Pelodiscus sinensis: one gene and its partners. The protein of the gene in region 2 binds, or shares a complex with, the protein of the main gene of each other region. Links are inferred from orthologs where the notes say so. Each region holds a gene or a part of one and is shown on either strand. Other genes may lie near its edges.

Region 1 (7,695 bases), on a different chromosome or scaffold from region 2:
CAGCCAGGCAAATGCACACGCGTAGGGAGCCAGCGAACACACCTGCTGCCACTGAGTCATCCCCTGACCAACAGCGCCTGGCAAATGCTCCAAATACCCAGCTGGTGGCACAGACTTAGAAGGAGCCAGCAGCTGAGAGCTGTCCCACAGCCAGCGCGCTTGCCCCATCCTCTACAGCGCCTCCTGCTGGGGGAGGCTGGGGCTGGCAAGATTTCCACCCCACCCGCAGCCAGCCCTCCCTGCAGAATTGTGGCTGGACCCCTCCGCAGCTGTCTCAGAGGGCCCAATCCTGCTCCCCCTCCCCGTCCTCGCCCTGGGACGTCAGTCCCTTCCCAGCTGGTTCCTCCTGAAACTCCCAGTGAGCGCGAGGCCTTTCTGCACAGGACAAGCAGCCGGGACGTGTTGGGGCAGGTCTCGGAATGAGCCATCTCAGAGGGACAGCTGGGCCCAGTTGCTGCCCAGCCCACAGACACGTGGTCCCTGCGCAGGGCAGGAGTTGGTATTTTTAGGATTCCTCCCCACCCCCATCGCTCCAATCAGGGTCCATCCATCAGTCACATTCCCTGCACCCGCGGTGGGTGGCTGGGATTCCCCATCCAGGGGGCTGGTGCAGGGTTTCGTCTGTAACGAAATAGCTGCAAGCCTGTTTTTTACATTCACAATGAACCCTGCAAGCCCAGAGGCCTTGGAGCTACGAACCGCCAAGCCTAGAGAGGCCGAGGCTCAGCCCTGGCACAAGTTAAGCTCTTGACTGGTGGCCCTCCAGGTGGGGAAGGGTTAACCGGAGCCATGTCCTAAGCTGGTGGAGGCTGGGTTTGTGTTTCCCAGCCCTGTGGTCCATCCAGACATGGGTAACCCTTCCCCTTCTCCACCCTGCTAAGTAGCCCTGAGCAACAGATCCAACCAGCGACTGGTACCCCCGGCAGGCACTGGTATCCCAACCAGATACTGGTATCCCAACCAGATACTGGTACCCCCAGCAGGCACTGGTATCCCAACCAGATACTGGTACCCCCGGCAGGCACTGGTATCCCAACCAGATACTGGTACCCCCAGCAGGCACTGGTATCCCAACCAGATACTGGTACCCCCAGCAGGCACTGGTATCCCAACCAGATACTGGTACCCCCGGCAGGCACTGGTATCCCAACCAGATACTGGTACCCCCGGCAGGCACTGGTATCCCAACCAGATACTGGTACCCCCAGCAGGCACTGGTATCCCAACCAGATACTGGTACCCCAGCAGGCACTGGTATCCCAACCAGATACTGGTATCCCCAGCAGGCACTGGTATCCCAACCAGATACTGGTATCCCCAGCAGGCACTGGTATCCCAACCAGATACTGGTATCCCCAGCAGGCACTGGTATCCCAACCAGATACTGGTACCCCCGGCAGGCACTGGTATCCCAACCAGATACTGGTATCCCCGGCAGGCACTGGTATCCCAACCAGATACTGGTACCCCCAGCAGGCACTGGTATCCCAACCAGATACTGGTACCCCCAGCAGGCACTGGTATCCCAACCAGATACTGGTACCCCCAGCAGGCACTGGTATCCCAACCAGATACTGGTATCCCCAGCAGGCACTGGTATCCCAACCAGATACTGGTATCCCCAGCAGGCACTGGTATCCCAACCAGATACTGGTACCCCCGGCAGGCACTGGTATCCCAACCAGATACTGGTATCCCCGGCAGGCACTGGTATCCCAACCAGATACTGGTACCCCCAGCAGGCACTGGTATCCCAACCAGATACTGGTATCCCAACCAGATACTGGTATCCCCAGCAGGCACTGGTATCCCAACCAGATACTGGTACCCCAGCAGGCACTGGTATCCCAACCAGATACTGGTATCCCCAGCAGGCACTGGTATCCCAACCAGATACTGGTACCCCCAGCAGGCACTGGTATCCCAACCAGATACTGGTACCCCCAGCAGGCACTGGTATCCCAACCAGATACTGGTACCCCCAGCAGGCACTGGTATCCCAACCAGATACTGGTACCCCCAGCAGGCACTGGTATCCCAACCAGATACTGGTACCCCCAGCAGGCACTGGTATCCCAACCAGATACTGGTATCCCCAGCAGGCACTGGTATCCCAACCAGATACTGGTATCCCCAGCAGGCGACATCACAACAATGTATCTGTGCTGGTATCCCCACCTCCTCCTCCATCGGGCAGTGCTACACCAAACCCCACAGCGGGTTTCCAGCAGGGGTGAAGTACCCCTTTAGTATCCACTAGCAAGCAGAAGGGGAAATAAAGAGGCGTGGTGCCTCTGGATTGGATCTACCAAATTACCCCGTCTGCTCCAAAGTTTCCCGGCGCGAGCCCCAGAGGAGGCATAGTGGCACCCCGGGGGCCCCTCCGGGCCAGGACTGGCCCAGTCTCACAGACCCTTCAGCATTGTGACCCACATTTTCCAGACGGGGAGACCACGGTGACACAGCAAACAAGGGCAGCTAGGTCCCCCGCAAGACCACCCGCTTCCACCCCTAGGACCCACCCACCCCCTTGCTCACCTCCCTGGTGACCTCTGGGCACAGGATGGGGGGCACGTGGGGCCCCCGCTTTGCCTGGTGGGTGCCAAGGGGGGGGGGGGTTTCAGCTGAGCTGGAACCCGGCGAGAGCAGCGAGAAGGGCGGGGGCAGAAAGCTGCCAGGCTGCGAACCTGCCTCCGATCCCCCCGCATCGGTTCGAGCCCGTCTCAGCCCCCCTGCACTTTCCAGCAACCCCCTCGGAAAAGCAAAGGGCAGCGGGTCATGGGCCGGTTCCGATCCGGTCCGGTCCATCCCCCCGGTATTTCTGGCTGCAGCCCCCCTCCGGGGGGGGGGGGACCCACCTGCAGGCCGGGGTGCTCGAACACGTCCATCTGGATCTCCTGGGTGGAGCTGCGGGGTGTCCGGGCCATGCCGCCCTCCCGCACCATGGAGCTCGCGGCGGCTCGGCCTGGCTCGCCCCGGACTCGTGTCCCAAGCCAGCCCCGGCAGAGGAGGAGCCCGGGGCGGGGGCGGGGGCGTGTGGGGGCGGCAGCCGCCCGGCCCCTCCCGGCGGCCACACAATGCGCAGGCAGGCGGGGGAGGGAGGGAGGGGGGTGGCGAGAGGCGGGGGCGAGCCCCGGGGCTCGCCGGCCCGGAGGGGGCGGGGTGTGGTCCGAGCGCCCCCCCCCCCCCACAGAGCGATGTGGGGGGGTCTGCAAGCAGGCAAAGACCCCCCCCTCCGGCTTTGGAACTCCCCCCCCCCCCGATCCTCCCCCCCTACCGAGGGGCCTGGCTGCCAGCAGCGCTAAGTGGGGGGGGCAGATGTCAGGAGATGTCCCCCGTCATGGGGATTCCCGAAGGGGGGGGCTCATGCCTCCCTACTCCCCACAGAGCCCCCCCCCAAACCCACGGCCATGGCTGGGCGCAGGGCTCCAGTGATGGGTCCGCTCCCCCCTGCCCAGGGACCATGGGGGGCACTGCTGCCCCCCCTCAGATCCTGCAGAGAGCTGGCCCTGGGTATTTTACTGCCACTCTTTTCAAGCCCGCCCCCCAGGCCACTGCTCCAGCCCACCAAAAGCTGGATCCCGCCTCCCTGCAACTGGCTGTGGGGGGTTGCGGGGATACTCAGCCCCCAGACCTGTTTTATTGGGGGGTCCCGGGTTGGCGTGGCGCTGGGTTGGCTCTCAGCGCTAACCTGCTACCCGCCCGGTAACCTGCTACCCGCCTGGTAAGTTGGATTCCACGCACAGCTCCCCCCATCCCATCCCTGGGCTCCCTCCACACACACTGTCCCCCCTTCTTTCCCTCCCCCCGTCTGCCAGCACCCCTCAGTCCCGACCTCCGCCCAGCAGGTGGTAACCTTGAGAGAGATTTCTGAGTCCCAGGATGGGGACCCCCAGCTGGACCGGTTCCCCTCCCTTCCTGCCAGGCACAGGCTCAATGCGGCCGTGTGGGGGGGCAATACTGCTGGGATGGGAGAGGGGGGAGCTTGGTTGGGAACAGATCTCAGCCTCCCAGAGCCCCTGCCATGAGAGCATGCTGGCCGGTGAGCGGCTGTATTGCTTAGCTGGCCTTATTGTGCAGTGACAGCTGGCCTGGGTCCCAGAGCTCTGCTGCAGGTCGGTAGCTGGTAACCCACCCACCTCTCTCCCCCTGTGCCCTGCCACCTCCTTTCATTCGCCCCCACCACCCTTTGCCAGGAACCTGTCCCCTACCAGAGACTTCCTAGCAGAACCCACCTGCCCCAACACCCCCTGGGGGCTCCCAACAGGCCCTGATGATCCTCAAAGCCCCCCACATGCCCCCCACGTCAGGTAGACTAGGGCACTTGGATGAGCTCCAATTTAGGGTGAGAAGGAGGGAGGGGAAAGGAGTCATTGGGGCCACTTCTTCCCCCACCAGCCACCTGGGAAGCAACTGATGCTGTGGCCAAGACCCTGGAGTAAATGAGGGGGCTGAAGAAAAGTGCACTCCCCTCCCCCCCCCCCGTGCTGCCCCTCCCACCCAGCAACCCAGCTGAGGAATGGAGTCAGGGACTTACCCCCTCCATCTGCCCGGTACTCCTGCCAGGGCATGGGGGACAGGGCAGGGACGCTGGTCCTTCTCCGCCCACTTCGGGGCTCCAGCTGAGGCGTGGGGGTCGGGGCCTTGCAAGCCCTCATGACCCAATTCTGCTCCCCAAGGAGACCACTGGGCGGGTGGAGCAGGACAAGCCCTGCACCCCACCCCCAGGAGAGGGGCAAGCCACCGCACCCCAACCCTGGCAGGATGCTGGACGGGCTGAGCAGGGCCAGCGATGGGGCAGGACCAGAGCTGGGATGGGGGGGAGGGGTTGATAAGTGAGTGGGCTGTGGCCAGCCCATATGCTGTACTCCAGGGGTGGGGAACCTCAGACCCGGGGGCCGAGGCTCAGGGGCCTCTCCCAGTACTGGGTAGCCTGCGCTGGCACTCCAGCCCCACTGCTGCCCCACCATGGGGCTGGAACCACAAAATCTACTAGGCCGGGCCGCCCTAGGCTCTGGTGTGTGAGGGGAATGGGGGGTGGGTCTGTCTCCTCCACTGGGGGCTATGTCAGTGAGGGGTTTCTTGTTTTGGTTTGGTTTTGCTTCCCACTTGTGTGCAGCCCCCGACCTAAAAAAAGTTCCCCAGCCCTGCTGTACGCTCTACACCCCAGTACAGAGGAAGCCCCATGACAGGCGACAGGGGGAGAGAATTCACGTGGCTGGTGGGGGTCTGTGGCTAAGTAGGAAAGAATTGGGGGGGCTTGGCTCTGTGTTTCCCCACCTCCCTCCCTTGTCTCGCCACCCGCTAGGCCACAGCTCGCTTTGGCAGGGATCCTGAGCGTAGGGAAGTGCCCTCACCCCACTGGAGCATGACAGCAGCCCCATGACCACCCCTTCACCTCGCAGAGACTGGGGGCCAGTCCCAAGGGGGTGCAGCGGGGTGCGGTGGATTCACTCCGGAGAGCTGGCTCCAGCCCCGGCCTGCGCAGCTGGGAGACAAACTATCCAAGCACCAGGGCAGGCGAAGCAGGAGAGCTTTTCCATTATTAGAACCCATCCATCACGGGCGGGCTGAGGCGTGACTGCAGAAACCAGCACTGAATCCCATTTCACCTCCACCGGAGAAACCAGGCATGGAGAGAATGACTTGCCCAAGGTCACGCAGCTAATCGGTGGCAGAACCAGGTGTAGACTCCAGCCCCCCTGTTAGGCTCTAGCATCCCCCCCTCTCCGCCCCCATTTCAGAGGGTGGGGATACAGCTCAGATGACTGGGACTATACAAGTCCGGACCCCAAAGAAGCAAAGAGGGGGTCTTTTGAACCCCAAAAGACTAAGCAATTGAATCAACCAATTGTACACAATGTGAGTGCAGAAGAGTATGTCAAGTAAGGCCTCTAAGGAAAGTTGGTGATGTTCTGAACTTGCTGGGCATTAGGAGATCTGCACGCAGGGCATACACGCATGTGAAAGTTGTAATTGTAAACTACAACATCACCTGGCATATAAGGCAGGGAGGTGCACCAGGCCAGCTGTTTCCACGGAACCAACTTCAGCGACTCGTCCATCCTTCAGCTGGGAAAAGACAATGCTGGGACCACTAGAGTTAATGGAAAGACAAGGAGACAGCTGGGAATTCCCACACACACACCAATGAGTCACCAGGCCAGAAAGAAGGGGAAGGGGGGAAGCCTTTTACTAGCAGGCTTATGTTGCATCAGAGGCTTTCTCTACACCTAAAAGTTTCAAGCGCAGCAGCTTTAAGCTATGGATGTAAACAAGTAGTCGAGTATACGATTAACCGGTAAGACTAGGCTTATCGGTTAATCTTCTCAACTACTTGCATCCCGCCCAGCCTTGCTGCCTCTGTATCAGAGGCAGCAAGTGGGATGGGGCAGGAGCCGGTGCTGCAGGGAGCCACCTTAAAAGGTAGATTCCTCCCAGCACCGGTTCTGCCATGCCGCCAGCCCCCCAGCATGGGGGGGCAGGAGAGGCTGCACAGGAGCAGGGGAGGCATCGCACGGAACAGCCTCTATCCTCGGACAGCTCAGACCCCCCCACGGACGGGGCTACTGCCACCCTGCACTGCTGCCTCTGTATCAGAGGCAGCAGCATGGGGTGGCAGGCAGGCAGCTGGTCTGCTTGGGGAGTTGGTTTTTAAACTGGCTCCCCTCACGGACCGGCTCCCTCCTGGCACCTTGCGCTGCTGCCTCTGATACAGAGCTCTCCCAGGCCAGCGCTCTATGTAAACCACATCCATGAGGAGAGTAGCAAACAGCACTGTAGCCTGGTTCCCATTGGCACTTTACAGCGCTGTAACTTCTGCACTTGGCGGGGGGTTGTTTTTTCACACTCCTGAGCCAGAAAGATGCAGCACTGTGAAGTGCCAAGGTAGACGCAGCCTTTGCATGAAGGTTTTTTCCCAGAAACTGAGGGCAGCCTGTCCGTGAAACCCTGGATTCTCCCTAGGACAGGTGTGCTGGGAAACTGTTCGGAGGGAATAGAAAAGGGGATTTGTCTAATAAACAAGCGTAAAGCCAGAGGTTGCGTCTTTCCATTTCAATTCCGTGTGACGGGTCCGCGTTTGCTTTCTCTTACCTGTTCACCTTTGAATCTGCAGTTTTTTCCATAGTAAATAAAATTACTTCTACCCCCAGAGCGTCCCAGCGACATTCAAACTGCCCCTGCCTCTTCATCCCAAACTCAAACCCAGCTCTGAGTCAATACAAGCCGGTTCCCGGTTCCAGTCAGGAGTGAAGTAGGTTTCCTCCCTGCAGAGGATCCCAACTTTGGGGCGGTTCCCTGATCCAGATGTGACTCCCGCCCGTCTCCCGCTCCTGACAGGGGGATGCCAGGCCCGATTTGAAATGACCTCTTCAGACTAGGGATGGAAATGGGCAATTGGTACTCGGCCACAGCCCCCCACCTACAGTCTGCCATCAGCAGCAGCAGCACCCCTGTTGCCAGCGGCAACCACTCTGGGACCAGGACCAAGATCCCGCGTAGTTAGGTTAACCAGTTAAACATTGGGTTAACCGAACGTTTAACCGGTTAACTGATTAGTGGGGATTTTCCATCCCTACTCCAGACCAGCAGGGGCTGGGAGATTTGGGGAGAAGGATGCTGTTTAGAGAAACCCCTGTGTATCCCCTCTTCCCAGCTAGGCCAAGGGAGATGGCCTTTTCTGAGGGTTCAGGG
Region 2 (7,085 bases):
TGCTGGTGGATGTTGGTTTTGCAGTTCTTGCACCGCAGGCCGAATTTGTTGTTGACTGGGGGGGAGGGGAGGAAGAATCGATGAAACGTCCCAGCCCTGGAACCTGCTCGGCTAGAGACCCCCCCATCCAGGGGTCACAGCTCAGGGGTGCGGGTGGGGCCTGGATGGGGACCGGGTTCAGGGCTGGTACGGGGCCTTTGGAGCAGCAAAGGCGGGGCGGTACCCCCCGTGACAGAGCCCCTGGGAGCCGATGTCTCCATGAGGGGGGGCCTCTGCCAGGCCCCTCCAGCCCCCCCCAGCCAGGCAGCAGGGGCCCGTTACTGCCCCCCGGACTGGCAAAGGTGCCGGGGGGGCCAAGTCCCGGCCTGGGCCCGACCCTGCTCCTGGGCCGTCCCACACCTCAGCCACGCTGCCCCCCCCCCACTCACGGACGATCATGCGGGCGCAGACGTCGCAGAACTTGGGCTTTTTGAAGTAATGATCCTTGAACTTGTGGGGCTTGTCGTTGACGGGCTTCTGGGGCTCCGGGGGCGGCTCCGGCTCCTCCTCCTCCTCCTCCTCTTCCTCCTCGTAGATGTAGTAGATGGGCCCCCCCGTGGGGCTGACCAGCTCCCCGTTGGGCTGCGGCTCGGGCGCCGGCTCCTCCTTGGGCTTCCGCTGCAGCAGCCGCTTCAGCGCCCCGAGCTGGGGGGAGACACCGGGCACCTGGGAGACACCCACAGCCCTCCCCGGGGGAAACCGAGGCACGGGCAGGGACGGGGGCTTGCCCCAGGGTTCCGTGGGGAGTCAGAAGCAGCCACTGGGCAAAGAGCCCAGGAGTCCACCCCCCCAGGGCACCGGGCCGGGCGTTCGCCCTGCAGGCTGGCACTGCCGGGGTGGGGAGGCCACTGCCCCAGGAGGGTGGTAGGAACCCAGACGGGGCCCTGGCCCCTCTGGGCTCCGCACTCCCAGGCCTCTGGGGGGGGGCTAGAGCTGCCTTGGCTGCCCACGTCTGCACCCCCAGCTGGCTCCACCCCCTCGCTAAGTTCTCAGTGCCGGGGCAGAGCCCTGCAGGGGGTGGGCGCGGCGGCGCGGCAGGGGGCACAGAGCAGTGGGGCTCCCAAGCCCAGGAGCATGATGAGCCGGTCCCCACCCTACCCCTCCTCCAGCAAAGGGCAGGGGCCAGCGGCCCCCCAGGGAATTGGCGCTGCCCGGCCTGGGGGAGGGCTCAGCCCCTCACCCCCGTGGGGCCCTGCTCCAGCAGGGAGTGAACCCCGACACCCCCAACTCATCGGATCGAAGGCCCCGGCGCTGGCCTGGGGCTGGGAACGTGGGGTGCGCTGGGACTCAGCCTGGCTGCCCCACCAGCCACCCCCGGCCCAGCCAGCGCCCCTCGATCTGGGGCGGGGGGAGCCCAGACTGAATCTCAAACCGTTGGGGGGGTCTCAGCCACTGGGAGCCACATCCCCCCATCCGGCAGCCGTCGCAGGGGGACAGGGCAGGCTCCGGGGCCGATCCTGTGGGCGCACTTACCCCGCTCCCTGGCTTCCCTCCCGGTGCGGGTGAGGCCGGCGGCGCCAGCGCCTCCTTCTCCGTCATGCTGCAAGGGGGAGCAGAGGGGTCACGGGGGCTCCCCAGCCACCCCCACTAACCGGCAGCCAAGTGACAATGCCGCAGGATGAGCGAGCACCGCACCCCCTGCCCCACGGCAGCGCCAGCTGGGCCCTGCTCAGGGATCCACGGGCACAGGAGTCCTGGGGCCTGCCCATGGTGCCAGGCTTGTGCGATGAGCAACCCGCCCGGGGACTGGCAAGGGCCGGGCACCCCCAAGAGGAGACAGCACCAGGCCCCCAACCTCCTGGTCGCCCCCTTTCTGCTGTGCCTGGTGGCACCTCGCCCACAGCCCCCCGCACGCCCGGCCCAGGAACACTGGCGTAAGTCCTGGCGTCCGACGAGCCCCTCACCCCCCAGCTCGCAGGGGTGTGTTACCCCTGCTGTGTGTGTCAGACGCGGGAGGGGGTCTGTGCGCGTGTGGGCCAGTCCCAGGAGGGCGTGTGTGTGTGGGGGGAGAGGGGGGGCAGTTGCAAGAGGGTGTGTGCACAGGGGGGCAGTCACAGGAGGGCGTGTGTGTATGTGCGCGGGGGGGCCAGTCACAGGAGGGCGTGTGCGCGGGGGGGCCAGTCACAGGAGGGCGTGTGTGTGGGGGGGGGGTTGCAGGAGGGTGTGTGCGCGGGGGGGGCCAGTTGCAGGAGGGTGTGTGTGTGTGTGTGTGGGGAGGGGGGAGTCACAGGAGGGTGTGTGCGCGGGGGGGCCAGTCGCAGGAGGGTGTGTGTGTGGGGGGGGGTTGCAGGAGGGTGTGTGCGCGGGGGGGCCAGTCGCAGGAGGGTGTGTGTGTGTGGGGGGGGTTGCAGGAGGGTGTGTGCGCGGGAGGGCCAGTCGCAGGAGGGGGTGTGTGTGTGTGGGGGGGTTGCAGGAGGGTGTGTGCGCGGGGGGGCCAGTCACAGGAGGGGGTGTGTGTGTGTGTGGAGGGGGGAGTCACAGGAGGGTGTGTGCGCGGGGGGGCCAGTCGCAGCAGGGTGTGTGTGTGTGTGTGTGTGTGTGTGTGGCAGCAAGGGCAGGCCACTAGTAATAGCAAAGGCGGGGAGAGGGGGAGCCTTTGGGCATCCTGGCTGCTGGCCAGCCCCCTTGCCCCAATGTGGAAGGGAAGGGGGCATCTGAGACAGGTGGGCAGCAGTGGACAGAGGAGAAACCCAGCAAGAGGTGTGTGGGTGCACACGCGTGTGGCGAGTGCGGGTGGGTGCACACGCGTGTGGCGAGTGCGGGTGGGTGCACACGCGTGTGTAAGACTCACCTCTGAGCTTCGGGCTCCCTCCCGCTGGATAAATCCTCCCCGAAAGCCGCTCAGTGCCCCACAGAGACGGGCCCCGGCTCAGAGCCCCTCGGCCGAGCCAGCACCGGGCTGCACGGGGCGCGCGGCTGGAGACGGACTGACAGGGCGAGAGGGGAGCGAACAGCTGAGCCCCATCGGGGAGGCTGACGCTGAGAAATCGGAGCTTGCACACGAGCCGGCCTGGCCGGCAGGAGCTGCTGGCTGCTTGCCCGGTGGGGCCGGTGGACGCGGCCTAAGGCAGCCAGCCCAGCCCCAGGTGGGACGGGGGGGGGGGTTGGTTCCCACGGCCCGGTCACCAGGGACAGGGTGAGCCTGCGGCCTTTGGCTCCCTGCAGACACGGGGCTCTGGCAGGCTGGGGGGAGCCCCTCGGCGCTCGCCCCCCCCCACGCAGGGCCTGAGCCGCCTTGGGGCTGCTCTCGCTTGCACTCAGCCCCTGGGGCTGCAGACGATACCCACAATGCAGTGCGTGCGGGGCAGGCCGGAGCCCCTCCCTGTGCAGGCTCTGATGGGGGGCGGCTCTCAGGGGCCTCGAGCTGCCACCAGCCCTTGTCCCTGGGGGCTCTCACCCCGTCCCTGCTGCCGCCGGGTGCCCCTGCCTGTGGCGAACGCCGGGTGCTCAGGGACCGGGGCCGCTGCCGGGTGGCAGGCTCCAGGCCCCACTCCGCCGCCGGGCGCCGGAGCCCTTGGGGAGCAGGACACGTGTCTCCAAACACGCCCAGGGCCGTTCCCAAGGGGCTCGGCGGCTCCTCGCCTCTGTGCCGGCCGACAGGGAGCCAGGGGCTGAACGCCCAGGGCACGGCTCTAGGACAGGCTGCGCTCCACGGTCACTGGGTCCCGCCTGGGCTACGTCACATCACAGCAGGGAGCTAGGGAGGTAGCAAAGGGGGAGGAAGGGGGGGGACTTCAAAGGGGCAGCGCCGCACGGAGCCCGGGATCAGCTGCTCCGTGTGGCGCTGCCCCTTCGAAACGCCGCTGTGGCATACAAAGGGGCGGCGCCGCACGGAGCCCGGGATCAGCTGCTCCGTGTGGCGCTGCCCCTTCGAAACGCCGCTGTGGCATACAAAGGGGCGGCGCCGCACGGAGCCCGGGATCAGCTGCTCCGTGTGGCGCTGCCCCTTCGAAACGCCGCTGTGGCATACAAAGGGGCGGCGCCGCACGGAGCCCGGGATCAGCTGCTCCGTGTGGCGCTGCCCCTTCGAAACGCCGCTGTGGCATACAAAGGGGCGGCGCCGCCCTCTCGAATAATTGAATAGTCGATGCCAAAATGCATCGACTATTCGATTTGTCAATGACGTGATCTGTAACATCCTTAGGCCGGGCACGGAGCCCCCGCGCTGGGACCGGCGTGTGGTGCCCCGACCAGAGCAGAGCGGGGGCCTGGCACAGACGCCCCCTCCGAAGACACACGGAGGACGCCCCCACCCCTAAGGGCGTGACCCCTTTCGGATGAGTTGGTTGCCCCCTCCAAGGGACGCCCCGTCCTGCTGAGCCCCGGGTCCACTCCCGGCTCTGCTGCCCACACGCGCCAGCCCTGAGGTGAGTGATTCGCCCCCTGCAGACGGCTCTTACCTCCCTGGTGCACCTCGGCTCCCAGCGTTCTGCCCAGCCCGGGCCCCGCACAGGCCCAGGCTGGGCCCTGTGCCTCTTCCGCAGTGAGGGAAGCCAGGCTGGGGCCCAGGGGCTCTCAAGCTGAGGGTCACAACCCTGACAGCCATTCAGGGCAGCGGCTTGGCCTGCTCACTGGTGATGGGGGCACGTCCCTTGGTGATACCCCAGGAGGGGTACAGTGGGGGGGGCTTGCCCTGCGGGGAGGGGGGAGAGAGGGAGGGAGGAGTCCCAGAGCTGCGGGGGGGGGGGGGGTCTGTCGGTAACCCCTCGCGCTGGGCACAGAAATGGGAAGCCGCTTGAAAGTGACAAGATGATTTTTTTTTTTTATATTTAAAAACAAACCCAACCCCCCCGCTCCCTCTGGATTAAATAGACTGTACAGAGACCAGCCCCTGCCAACCGCTGCATGTGCAAGTGAGCGCAGCGCCCGCCGCGGCACAACGCTGGACCCAGCGCAACCTGTGTCCGGGGGGGCAGTGGGGGCGCGTTCCCGGGGGGGGGGGGGGGGAGGAAATGTTCTTCCACTCCAAAAAAAAATAATGATCAATTTCTCATCTCTTCATTGTGTCCATATAAATAGGGGCCGGGCGCGGGGCGGGCGGGGGGGCGGGGCCGGGGGGGCCCCTACTGGGAGCTGGCCCGCTCCAGCACGCGCAGGTCGTAGCTTCTCTTGGCCACGCGCAGCCGGAAGCGGCTGAGGGAGTTGTTGAGGCGCAGCGAGGCGTTCTGGGCGGCCAGCGGGCTGGGGAAGACGGCCACCACGGTGTACAAGGCAGCGAGGTCCGGGTGGCGGCCGTTCTCCGCCGGGCCGTTGTTGTCGCCGGCGCCGCCCCCGGCGCCGCGCCGTCCCCGCGTCTCCTTCAGCCACTGGATCTTGGCCCCGGCCATGGCGAGCTGAGTGAAGAGCTTGTCGGCCTCCGTGCGCGTGATGCCCTCCGGCAGGTCCGTCACCTCCAGCACCCGGCCCAGCACTGCGGGAGACAAGGCCGGGTCAGCGGCTGGGAGGACTAGTGGTTAGCATGGGGGAGGGGAGTGGCGCCTATCGGTTGGAGCAGGGGGCTAGGAGCCAGGACTCCTGGGTTCTACTCCCGGCTCTGGAAGGGGGCCCTCAGTCCCTGCTTGGATGAATTGGTCAAGTCCCAGGGGTGGGAGGCGGGAAGTCCTGGTGCACTCCCAGGTCACCCCCTTCCCCAGCAGGGGCTGTGTAATGCAAGGCCCTGGCGCCCCCAGGCCAGTCCCCACCAGGCGCAGGCAGACAGCTGGCTGTCAAGGGGGAAGTGATCAGCCCCCAAGGCCCCCTGGCGCCCCCAGGCCAGTCCCCTCCAGGCGCAGGCAGACAGCTGGCTGTCAAGGGGGAAGTGATCAGCCCCCAAGGCCCCCTGGCGCCCCCAGGCCAGTCCCCTCCAGGCGCAGGAGGCCAGCTGGCTGTCGAGGGGGAAGCGTCCCGCCAGCCTGGGGAAGTGGGCACGAGGGGCTGAGCACTTGGGGCTCCGCCGGGGCACCTGGCTGTAGCACGGGGCCTTTGCGGACAGCCAGGCAGCCCCAGCCCCTCCGGCTCAGGGCAAACCCGGCTCCCGAGAGGGCAGGGGAGCCAATGCCCAGCGCAGGGCTTCAGTTAGACCCGGCTGAGAACGGAGCTGAGCCGGGCGGTACCCGGGCCGCGCCCGCAGGCTGCAGCTGTCAGGGCCCGGAGCCTGTCCTGGCCGCGGCTGGGGCTCCGTGCGCCAGGCAGCGTGAGCAGCCGTCCCAGGGCCCCAGCAGACCAAATTCTGAGCTAATATTAAACCAGCCTGTAACAGATCCCCAGCCCCTCCCTGCTCTGTTTCCACTGCCCGGGGCGGGAGGGCGGGGGGTTTAAAGGGGCCCTGGCGTCACTGCTGCAGCTGTCTGGGGGTGGGGCAGGCATCTGCCTTGCAGCCTGGCCCCCCTGTCAGCAAGTGCTGACTCTGCTCCCGGGGGGCACTGAGCAACCACCCTACAGGCCCATGGGCACTTCAACCCCTGCCAGCCCTCGGGCAGCGGGCGGAGGCAGCCGCTGGGATCCAGCAGGGAGGGGCAGAGGGCTCCCAGCAAGCCAGCGACAGCTCTGCTCTAACCACTAGACTCCCCTGCCCTCCCTGAGCTGGGAACAGAATCCAGGCGTCCTGGCTCCCAGCCGCCTTAGCCAGTAGGTGCCTCTGCCCCCAGAGGAGGGGATAGAACCCACACGTCGATTCTTCCCCTCCCTTTAAGCACTGGGCAGTGTGCGTGTCCCGGCACACGCTCCCGCCCGCCGCAGCCGTATCTTCGCTCGGCACGGGGCAGGCAGGGCACAGGGGGGCTCTGCTGACACTGCAGATGCCCTCCAAGGGCAGCACTTCCGCAGGCCACGGGTCTCTCTGCTCTAGACCCCAGCGGGTCGTGGCCAGGATCGGGGATTTCCAGCCTGGGCCGCCGGGCGGGAGCAGCCCCCGAGGCCTGTGGCCACTTGCCTACGTCGCTTGTGCCGAGGTCGGTGGACGCGGACTTGAGGGCTTGTCTCTTGCTCCGGTTTCCGTGCTTCATCCCGGTCTGGCCCTGGAAGAGCAAAGCCAGACACTCACCCGGAGAAGGCCCCGGCCCTGCGGA
Region 3 (7,558 bases), on a different chromosome or scaffold from region 2:
CCAAGAGATTCCCCACAAGGGTTTATTCTAGACCAGTGGTCCCCAACCTTTCAAGGTTGCCGGGCGCCAGGGGGCGGGGCCGTTCGCCCGCCAGGCGCCAGGGGGCGGGGCCGTTCGACCGTTGGGCGCCAGGGGGCGGGGACACTTGCGCCCCGGGGGAGGCCCCCCCCATAGCCACATGCCCGGGGACGGCCCCCCCCATAGCCGCATGCCCGGGGCCGGCGCTCCCCCCGCCATGCGCCGCGCGCCCGGGGCCGGCGCTCCCCCCGCCATGCGCCGCGTGCCCGGGGCCGGCGTTCCCCCCACCATGCGCCCGGGGCCAGGCCAGCCCCGAGCACCTGGCAGGCGCATGGAAATGCCCCTGCGGGCGCCATGGCACCCGCAGGCACCGTGTTGGGGACCACGGTTCTAGACCATTCTAGTAGGGTAGGGTTCCAAACCCTGCTCCTCTCCACACACACAGATTTGCCACAGAATGGAGATCAAGGGCTCCCAGAGAGGCCAGGGTTGTCTGCACAGAGACCCTGGACCCTGGACCCTCATCTTGTTTCCAGGATCTTCTAGTCCAGTGTTTCTCAAACTGTGCTCCGCGGAGCCCCAGGGCATCTCCAGGGGCTCCGCAAGGTTGACAAACTGGACAAACTAGAAACATTGATAAGTACAACACGTACAAGCAGTGGACCGCTGGGGCTCCGCATAAATTTTTACGCATGTAAAGGGCTCCAGAGCTCCAAAAGTTTGAGAACTGCTGTTCTAGTCTCCCTCAGCTCCATAGTAGCCCCATATCTTTGGACATCCCTGCTGGCATCTCCCCCACTTCTGTAGTCCACTGTCATATGATACACAGTAAGTACAAACCAGAGTTGCTACTACAGGCTCCACCTGGATTAAATTAGGTAGAGATTCTCCCTCAGCGTTCTTTGTTGAAAATAGTTTTATGCTACAAAAACATTTGTGGAAAAAATGAAAATATGTGTCCATTTTTTGTGGCAATAACGTGGTGGAGGTGTTGTTCTACAGGTGTTCTTTTTGACAAGGAAAAGTTTTTGTTCCAAAAATACTGGCAAACTCTACTTATCTACCTCCAACAGGATGCTGCAAAGCTTAACTAATATAGAGCATTTGTACCGTGCTTGGAATTTTGCTGTTTGACGGGTGTGACGTAGTGGGGGTACCTGGCTGGTTTCTATGCTGCTGGCTCTGGGGTAACCCCCACTGGCTGCCGTGGGTACCACGACCCAGCAAAACAGGATGAGTCACTATGCAAACCAGTGGCCAGACACCCCCCATGGAGAGGAACAAAGGAAGGTGGAAAGCTGCCCTGGCTGGGGGGCAGGGCGGGAAGAGAGTGAGTGAGTTGCTGGCTGGAAGCATGGAGGAGACAGCCTAGGGAAAGGGACTGGAGTTTAGGGGCCCAGTCTCCCCCATCTCAAGGGGGCCTGAGGCATCCTAGCCCAGCTCTGTGACCAGATTACATCTATGCTGTGCTGTATCCTGGAGAGGCAATAAACTTCCTCTATTACACCGGCTGGTGCAGTCTGTTTGTGCCATTTCGGGGTGCAGGAGACGGGGACCCCCAACGCACCGTCACAACGGGTCCCCAGGGTTCCTTCCCTGCAACATTCCCCCTGCCACCACAATCCCACCAGGCTCTCGGTGGGGCACCAACACTCAGCCAGGCCTCTGCTTTGTGATGTCCAAGCAGTGTTCTCACACCAGTTCAAGTCCTCTGAGGCTCAGCCCTCTGGCTGGGCCCTGGATAATCCACCCTGTCCACAACTGTAAAAAAAATAGAACAAAAGGGAAAGTAACACAAATGAAACATCCCAACTCTGGGTTAAGATTCAGTTTCTTCAGGCTGATTTCTCATCACGCTGTGGCCCTAAATTGAATTTACAGGTGAAAAGAGAGGTAAAGTTCCCTCTCAAGACAAGGAAATACAACAAAGGGATAGAGAATAAGACAGAGAATATCTCATTGCCTTTGTATAACTCCATGCTTCGCCCACATCTTGAATACTGCCTACAGATGTGGTCGCCTCATCTCAAAAAAGATATTTTAGCATTGGAAAAAGTTCAGAAAAGGGCAACAAAAATGATTAGAGGTTTGGAACTGCTGCCATATGAAGAGAGATTAAAAAGACGTGGACTTTTTGTCTTGTTAGAAAAGAGGAGACTAAGGCGGGATATGATGGAGGTCTATAAAATCATGACTGGTGTGGAGAAAGTGAGTAAGGAAAAGTTATTTACTTGTTCCCATAATATAAGAAATTAATAGGTCACAGGTTTAAAACGAACAAAAGGAAGTATTTTTTGATGCAATGCACAGTCAACCTGTGGAACTCCTTGCCAGAGGATGTTGTGAAGACCAGGACTTTAACAGGATTCAAAAATGAACTATATAAATTCATGGAGGATAGGCCCATCAATGCTTATTAGCCAGGATGGGCAGGAATGCTGACTGTAGTCTTTTTTGGCAGAGCCTGGGAATGGGTGACCAGGGAGGGATCACTTGATGGTTATCAGTTCTGCTTATTTCCTCTGGGGCACCTGGCATTGGCCACTGTCAGAAGGCAGGATCCTGCACTAGACAGACCTTTGTTCTGATCCAGTATGGCCCTTTGTATGTTCTTATTCTTATGTAACATCTAGCTAACTGGCTGGCCAGCTCACCCAGTTATCAGAGGAGTTTCTGTCTTCTCCTGGCCCTCTCTTCAGGAGCAGAGGGCTGAAGGTCTGCTCTCTTCCATGGACTGCCCTCACCTGAGCTGTGTTTCTCCCTTTGAAGCTCCTCCATCCAATTCTGACACCTCTCAGATGTGAGGGAGCAGGCCACCTGAAACCATATTAGCTCATTCACCTGTGCTGCCCGGGATGGGGTTGTATACCCCATCACAGAGGGGAAAGTACCATAATGGCCAGCTATAGCTTTAGGACAGTGATGTGTTTAAGACCAAATCATTCTGCTTTTCTAGGCTCGTTCTACTTCTCTTCTCTGCAAGAAGCCAACTGTGGCTCTTTACTCTATTTTCAAGACCACAACCAAGGCCGGCTAAAAACCTACCACACACGCGCACTGGTAGAAGACAAAGCGCGATGCGACAGAGCGGAGCACAAGGGCCAGGTACCGCCCCACCTCCATGAAACAAGCATTGATGGCCTGCTGACAAACCCGGCTTCAGTCACCTATTTGCCAGATATGCACAGCAGCATACCAGCAGCTACTGAGCCGGTCACACGCTAGCTCTTTTAGTTACGGTCCTTTGGGAGGCGAGCCTGGAAAAAGAGAAAAACTGTTGGGCTGTGGAAAATGCTTTTCCCCTCAGCGTTGTATTTAATTTGTATCCTTCCCCACTCCAGCCCTAAGTAGGCGCTTGCTGACGGGTGAAGAGATTCTCTTTCAGTGGTGCTGCAGACATTCCTTGGTCAGACTCGTGGCTGATTGTTAATTTTGGCTGATGAATACCTAAACCAAGTGTTCACAGATAGCATGAAAGGTTTTCAGTAGTCCTGGTCTGTAGATAGTGGGCACCGTGGTTCCATGGCCCTGGGGTATAGACAGGTGGGATTCATAGGTGGGTTAAAAGGAAGTATTTCTTCATGCAATACACAGTCAACCTGTGGAACTCCTTGCCAGAGGATGTTGTGAAGATCAGGACTTTACCAGAGTTCAAAAAAGAGCTAGATAAATTCATGGACGTTAGGTCCATCAATGGCTATTAGCCAGGATGGGTAGGAATGGCGTCCCTAGCCTCTGTTTGTCTGGAGCTGAAAATAGATGACAGAGCAGAGATTACTTGATGATTCCCTGTTCTGTTCAATCCTTCTGGGGGCACCTGGCATTGGCCACTGTTGGCTGACAGGATACTGGGCTAGATGGACCTTTGGTCTGACCCAGTATGGCCATTCGTATGTTGTCATGGGATTAAACCTAGGACTTTAGGTGCTAAAGTCATGAGCTTCTACCTCACGATCTAAAAGCCAACCGACTTGTAGCTAAAGCTGCAGTGTAGACTTCATTCTCTCTCTCACTGGTCTCAGTGCCACTGAATTATGTGTAGTAAAAACGAGGCTGAACCACAAAATTCTATTCTGAAATCAGAGACAATTCCAGTTCCACCAAAGTTTGGTGTGTTTGGGCCCCTGAAACACTCCAGCCTCGGGGTGTAGGGGAGGGTATCGTTAGAACCAATAATGGATTCTGTGGAAGAAAAGTGGGTTCACCCCCATCTTTATCACAAAGAAAAATGCTTTTACGTTCTAAAAAAGTTTGCACCGGTCTCTGTTCCCAGCCATGCCTTGAGTGAGAAGGGAATGGTCTCATGGCTGTGGATATTAATTACACGGAGCTAGCTTTGCTCTCAGTTGGCTTATGGAACTTGCTGCACAAACCCAGCAGGGACAAGCTTGTAACTGGAGCTCCCGCAGTTACTTTATTCATTAGGTGCATTAATAGAAGCCCCACTCACAAGTCTAGTCACCCTGTCTCCTGATATATTTCAACAGCTGTACATGTGGCCAGCTGTCCAAGCCAGCCCACAACCTGCTCTACTTTTGCAACACACGGATGACATTTGGAATCTATTTGGAAATGCTTAGACACGCCAAGACTTTGGAAGACCACTTGAATAACTTGCAGCTCTCCTTCAAGTAGACAAACAAAACTCGACAGGGCAGTAATCACCGAAAGAGTCTGCCCTATGCGCTCCGGTGCACCCTAGCCATGGACGAAGGCAAAGCACTGAAAATTCGGGTGACTTTCTCTGTTATTTTGGTTGGCGTCTCTTTAATGTTTGCAGCTGTGGTGACTGATCACTGGGCAGTGCTAAGCCATAAAGTGGAGCATTACAATTCCACCTGTGAGGCTGCTCACTTCGGGCTATGGCGGCTCTGCACAAAGCAGTTTTACATCCAAGAACAAGTTACCAAGGAGAGGAGCTGTGGGAAGATAACTCTGACAGGAGGTAGGTGCTTGCATTCATTCCGCATCCACCCCAAAAATGCATGGGAGAAAATGTCAGGCTATTCTTAGTGACGTCTTTTAGGAAGAGAAAAAACATGCTGGAAAAAATGTGATTCTTGCTCCCACTGCACTTGATCTTACAAGATTCAACACGTCAATTTAGTTTTCATATTAGCCTGAAAATACACCTCATTGTCACATTTCGTTGAGGCCTTATCTTAAATGCATGATGCACTTCCACAGTATAGATCTGTGAGCATATTTAGCACACTGCTCTTCAGCTGTTTCCATACAGCACAGAAAGCAGCTGGCATAAAGGGGGCCAGATAGGAGAAGGCAAAAGGCACAGAGAGAAATCAGAAAGAAGGATATTTTCCCACTGATGTTTTTGCTGATATCAACAACCTTGCAAAAGCTATGCTAGGCCTTATAAAGGCCAAACTTCCATTGAGTCCACAGGGAGTTTTGCCTGTGTGGGGATTACGGGGTGGGAATGATATCTGGTTCATTATAAAATGTTTGTAGTTCAGAGCAATATGCCAGAACCTCTTGTTTTTGAAAGTTATTTCAAAGTTATTTAATACTCTTCAGTATTACTTAGGGCAGTGTGGAACTGCATGCAATGGCATAGTTCTCCAAATGCCAAAAAATGCTGTAATTAAGTGAGAAATAATCTATCACTGGCTTATTAGGGCCTCCTTAAATTTCACAGAGTGGCAGAAAGCAAAGGTGCTCTGTGTTTGTGAAGAAAGAAGTCTATTCAGACCCTTTTCTTCATACGGAGTAGTCAGAGATCCTGAAAATAGTCCCATTAAAATCAACGGGAAGCATGGTAGCCTGGCGCCCCTCGCTAGTTTCCTGGAAAGGTATTACATTAGCATGATTTGCAAGTAGTTGTATTACATTTTTGCGGATTGCAAAGTCTGCTGCATTCATGCAACCTGTGCTAATACTCTTTTCCTGACTTTTCCAATTTCAAGAGGCTAATACCAACTTGGATTATTTCCTAGACAGAAATCCCCCTAAATAACAGGATTTCCTTTTGATTAGCACCCCGGGTTGAAGGTACAATTAGATTTTAATATATTTGTAAGATGACTATGAAATCATATAGTGATAATCCTCAACCTGACTAAACTATTTATTATCAGACAGAAGAGGCTGATCCATAGCATTCAGATCCGAGTTCCAATCTGGCATTCCCCCATGTTTGGGGGTGTTTTAATCTGGAGGTTTGCCTTAGTCCCATTTCTGGTTGATATAATAAATACATTTTAATATAGCTAATGACCTTATCAATATCATTTTCTGTGCACATGTAGGAAGCTTTATGTTTAAGGGGAGACAGATTGGGAGAAACACATAAATACCGCGCTTTATTGAATAAATTTATAACTCGTAAATATCCTGCTGGCTCAGTAAAACAGCTTCATCATCTATCCAGCAGAAAAGTGTTAGATAGTTTTGACAGACACCAGCATATGCTTGCATGGACATCTCCCAGCTGAGCTACCCATGCCCTCTGTATTGGCTTCTTAAAGTGCCGAGTAAACAAATAGGTAATTATGGAGCTGAAGGCCTCTCTGCAGAACAGCTTTGACTGAAACAGAGATGACCTTTCATTACGGGAGAGGTGGGCATACTTTTAAAGGGCTTGGCAGATACTCCTGGGATTCAATGGAATTCAGCTTCAAAATCATTATATGCAATAATACTGAATTCTTTCATGCATGTCATCTGAAGTTCTAACAGAGTCCTTTACAACACACTCTACTGTTAGGTACGTGCTATCATCCTCATTTTTACATTAGGGAAACTGAAGCACAAGAAGGGTCCAAGGTTGGCCAGAGGCCAGCCATGCAAAGCATCTATGATAGCACTTGGAAAAGAACTCAGATGTCTTGGCTTTCAGTATTCAACTCTAGCTGCTAGACTACGCAGCTCCAGAAATGGCACTCCTAGTTGTGATGATTCCATATGGCTGAGGAGAAATGCCAGCTGAAGTTGTCAGACTTGGACTACACAAGAAAGAGGAGGGAAACAAAGTTGGAGTAGCTGACCGGTGTGTCAGTAAACCTGTTTTTCTGAAAATCATACGTAGTCACCAGGATTTGAAAAAGTATCATTATTTACTACTGGGTTAATAGTTACCTACCTAGTACTACTCGGGTGGAATAACTAGTATTGCTTCTGTTGTTTATTACTTATTAATCTTAGTGCTGTACTAAATATAGGATACGATTCTGGCCATGTCTTCACTACACGGAAGATCAATGTTGCCACGATCGATCTTCCAGATTGTGATTTAGTGGGTCTAATAAAGACCTGTTAAATCAAACTCGGAAGGTGCTGGTACTGCTGCTCTTTGTGAGATGTTAGGGAAGCTGATGGGAGTGTTTCTCCATCAACCTTTCACTGTGAAGACTGCACAGAAACTCAAATTAAGGTATGTTGACTACAGCTGCATAATTAACAAAGCTGGAGTTGCATATCTTAATTCGACCTTCCCCATTAGCCTACAACTGGCCTTAGAACTTGTGGTCTTATGGTTTAAGGCAGAGAGATTTACAGTTTAACCACACGTTTAAAGGTTGTT

The links. The genes of interacting proteins can lie anywhere in the genome.
Region 1: STAC3 (region 2) and CACNB1 share a complex: the UniProt entries of both Homo sapiens proteins name them as parts of the calcium channel complex. The link is inferred for Pelodiscus sinensis from reciprocal best matches to the Homo sapiens genes STAC3 and CACNB1.
Region 3: STAC3 (region 2) and CACNG1 share a complex: the UniProt entries of both Homo sapiens proteins name them as parts of the calcium channel complex. The link is inferred for Pelodiscus sinensis from reciprocal best matches to the Homo sapiens genes STAC3 and CACNG1.

What each region holds. Positions count from the first base shown.
Region 1 is NC_134739.1:12,091,649-12,099,343, reverse strand, and holds the start of CACNB1 (voltage-dependent L-type calcium channel subunit beta-1), read right to left. Parts: upstream 3,016-7,695; 5' UTR 2,946-3,015; coding exon 2,859-2,945; intron 1-2,858. UniProt on the Homo sapiens protein: Regulatory subunit of L-type calcium channels. Regulates the activity of L-type calcium channels that contain CACNA1A as pore-forming subunit.
Region 2 is NC_134729.1:3,046,705-3,053,789, reverse strand, and holds the start of STAC3 (SH3 and cysteine-rich domain-containing protein 3), read right to left. Parts: upstream 3,018-7,085; 5' UTR 2,831-3,017; intron 1,580-2,830; 5' UTR 1,579-1,579; coding exon 1,513-1,578; intron 685-1,512; coding exon 429-684; intron 56-428; coding exon 1-55. Other genes in the region: R3HDM2 (R3H domain-containing protein 2), read right to left, coding at 5,103-5,449, 6,950-7,034. UniProt on the Homo sapiens protein: Required for normal excitation-contraction coupling in skeletal muscle and for normal muscle contraction in response to membrane depolarization. Required for normal Ca(2+) release from the sarcplasmic reticulum, which ultimately leads to muscle contraction.
Region 3 is NC_134730.1:21,672,455-21,680,012, reverse strand, and holds the start of CACNG1 (voltage-dependent calcium channel gamma-1 subunit), read left to right. Parts: upstream 1-4,543; 5' UTR 4,544-4,722; coding exon 4,723-4,963; intron 4,964-7,558. UniProt on the Homo sapiens protein: Regulatory subunit of the voltage-gated calcium channel that gives rise to L-type calcium currents in skeletal muscle. Regulates channel inactivation kinetics.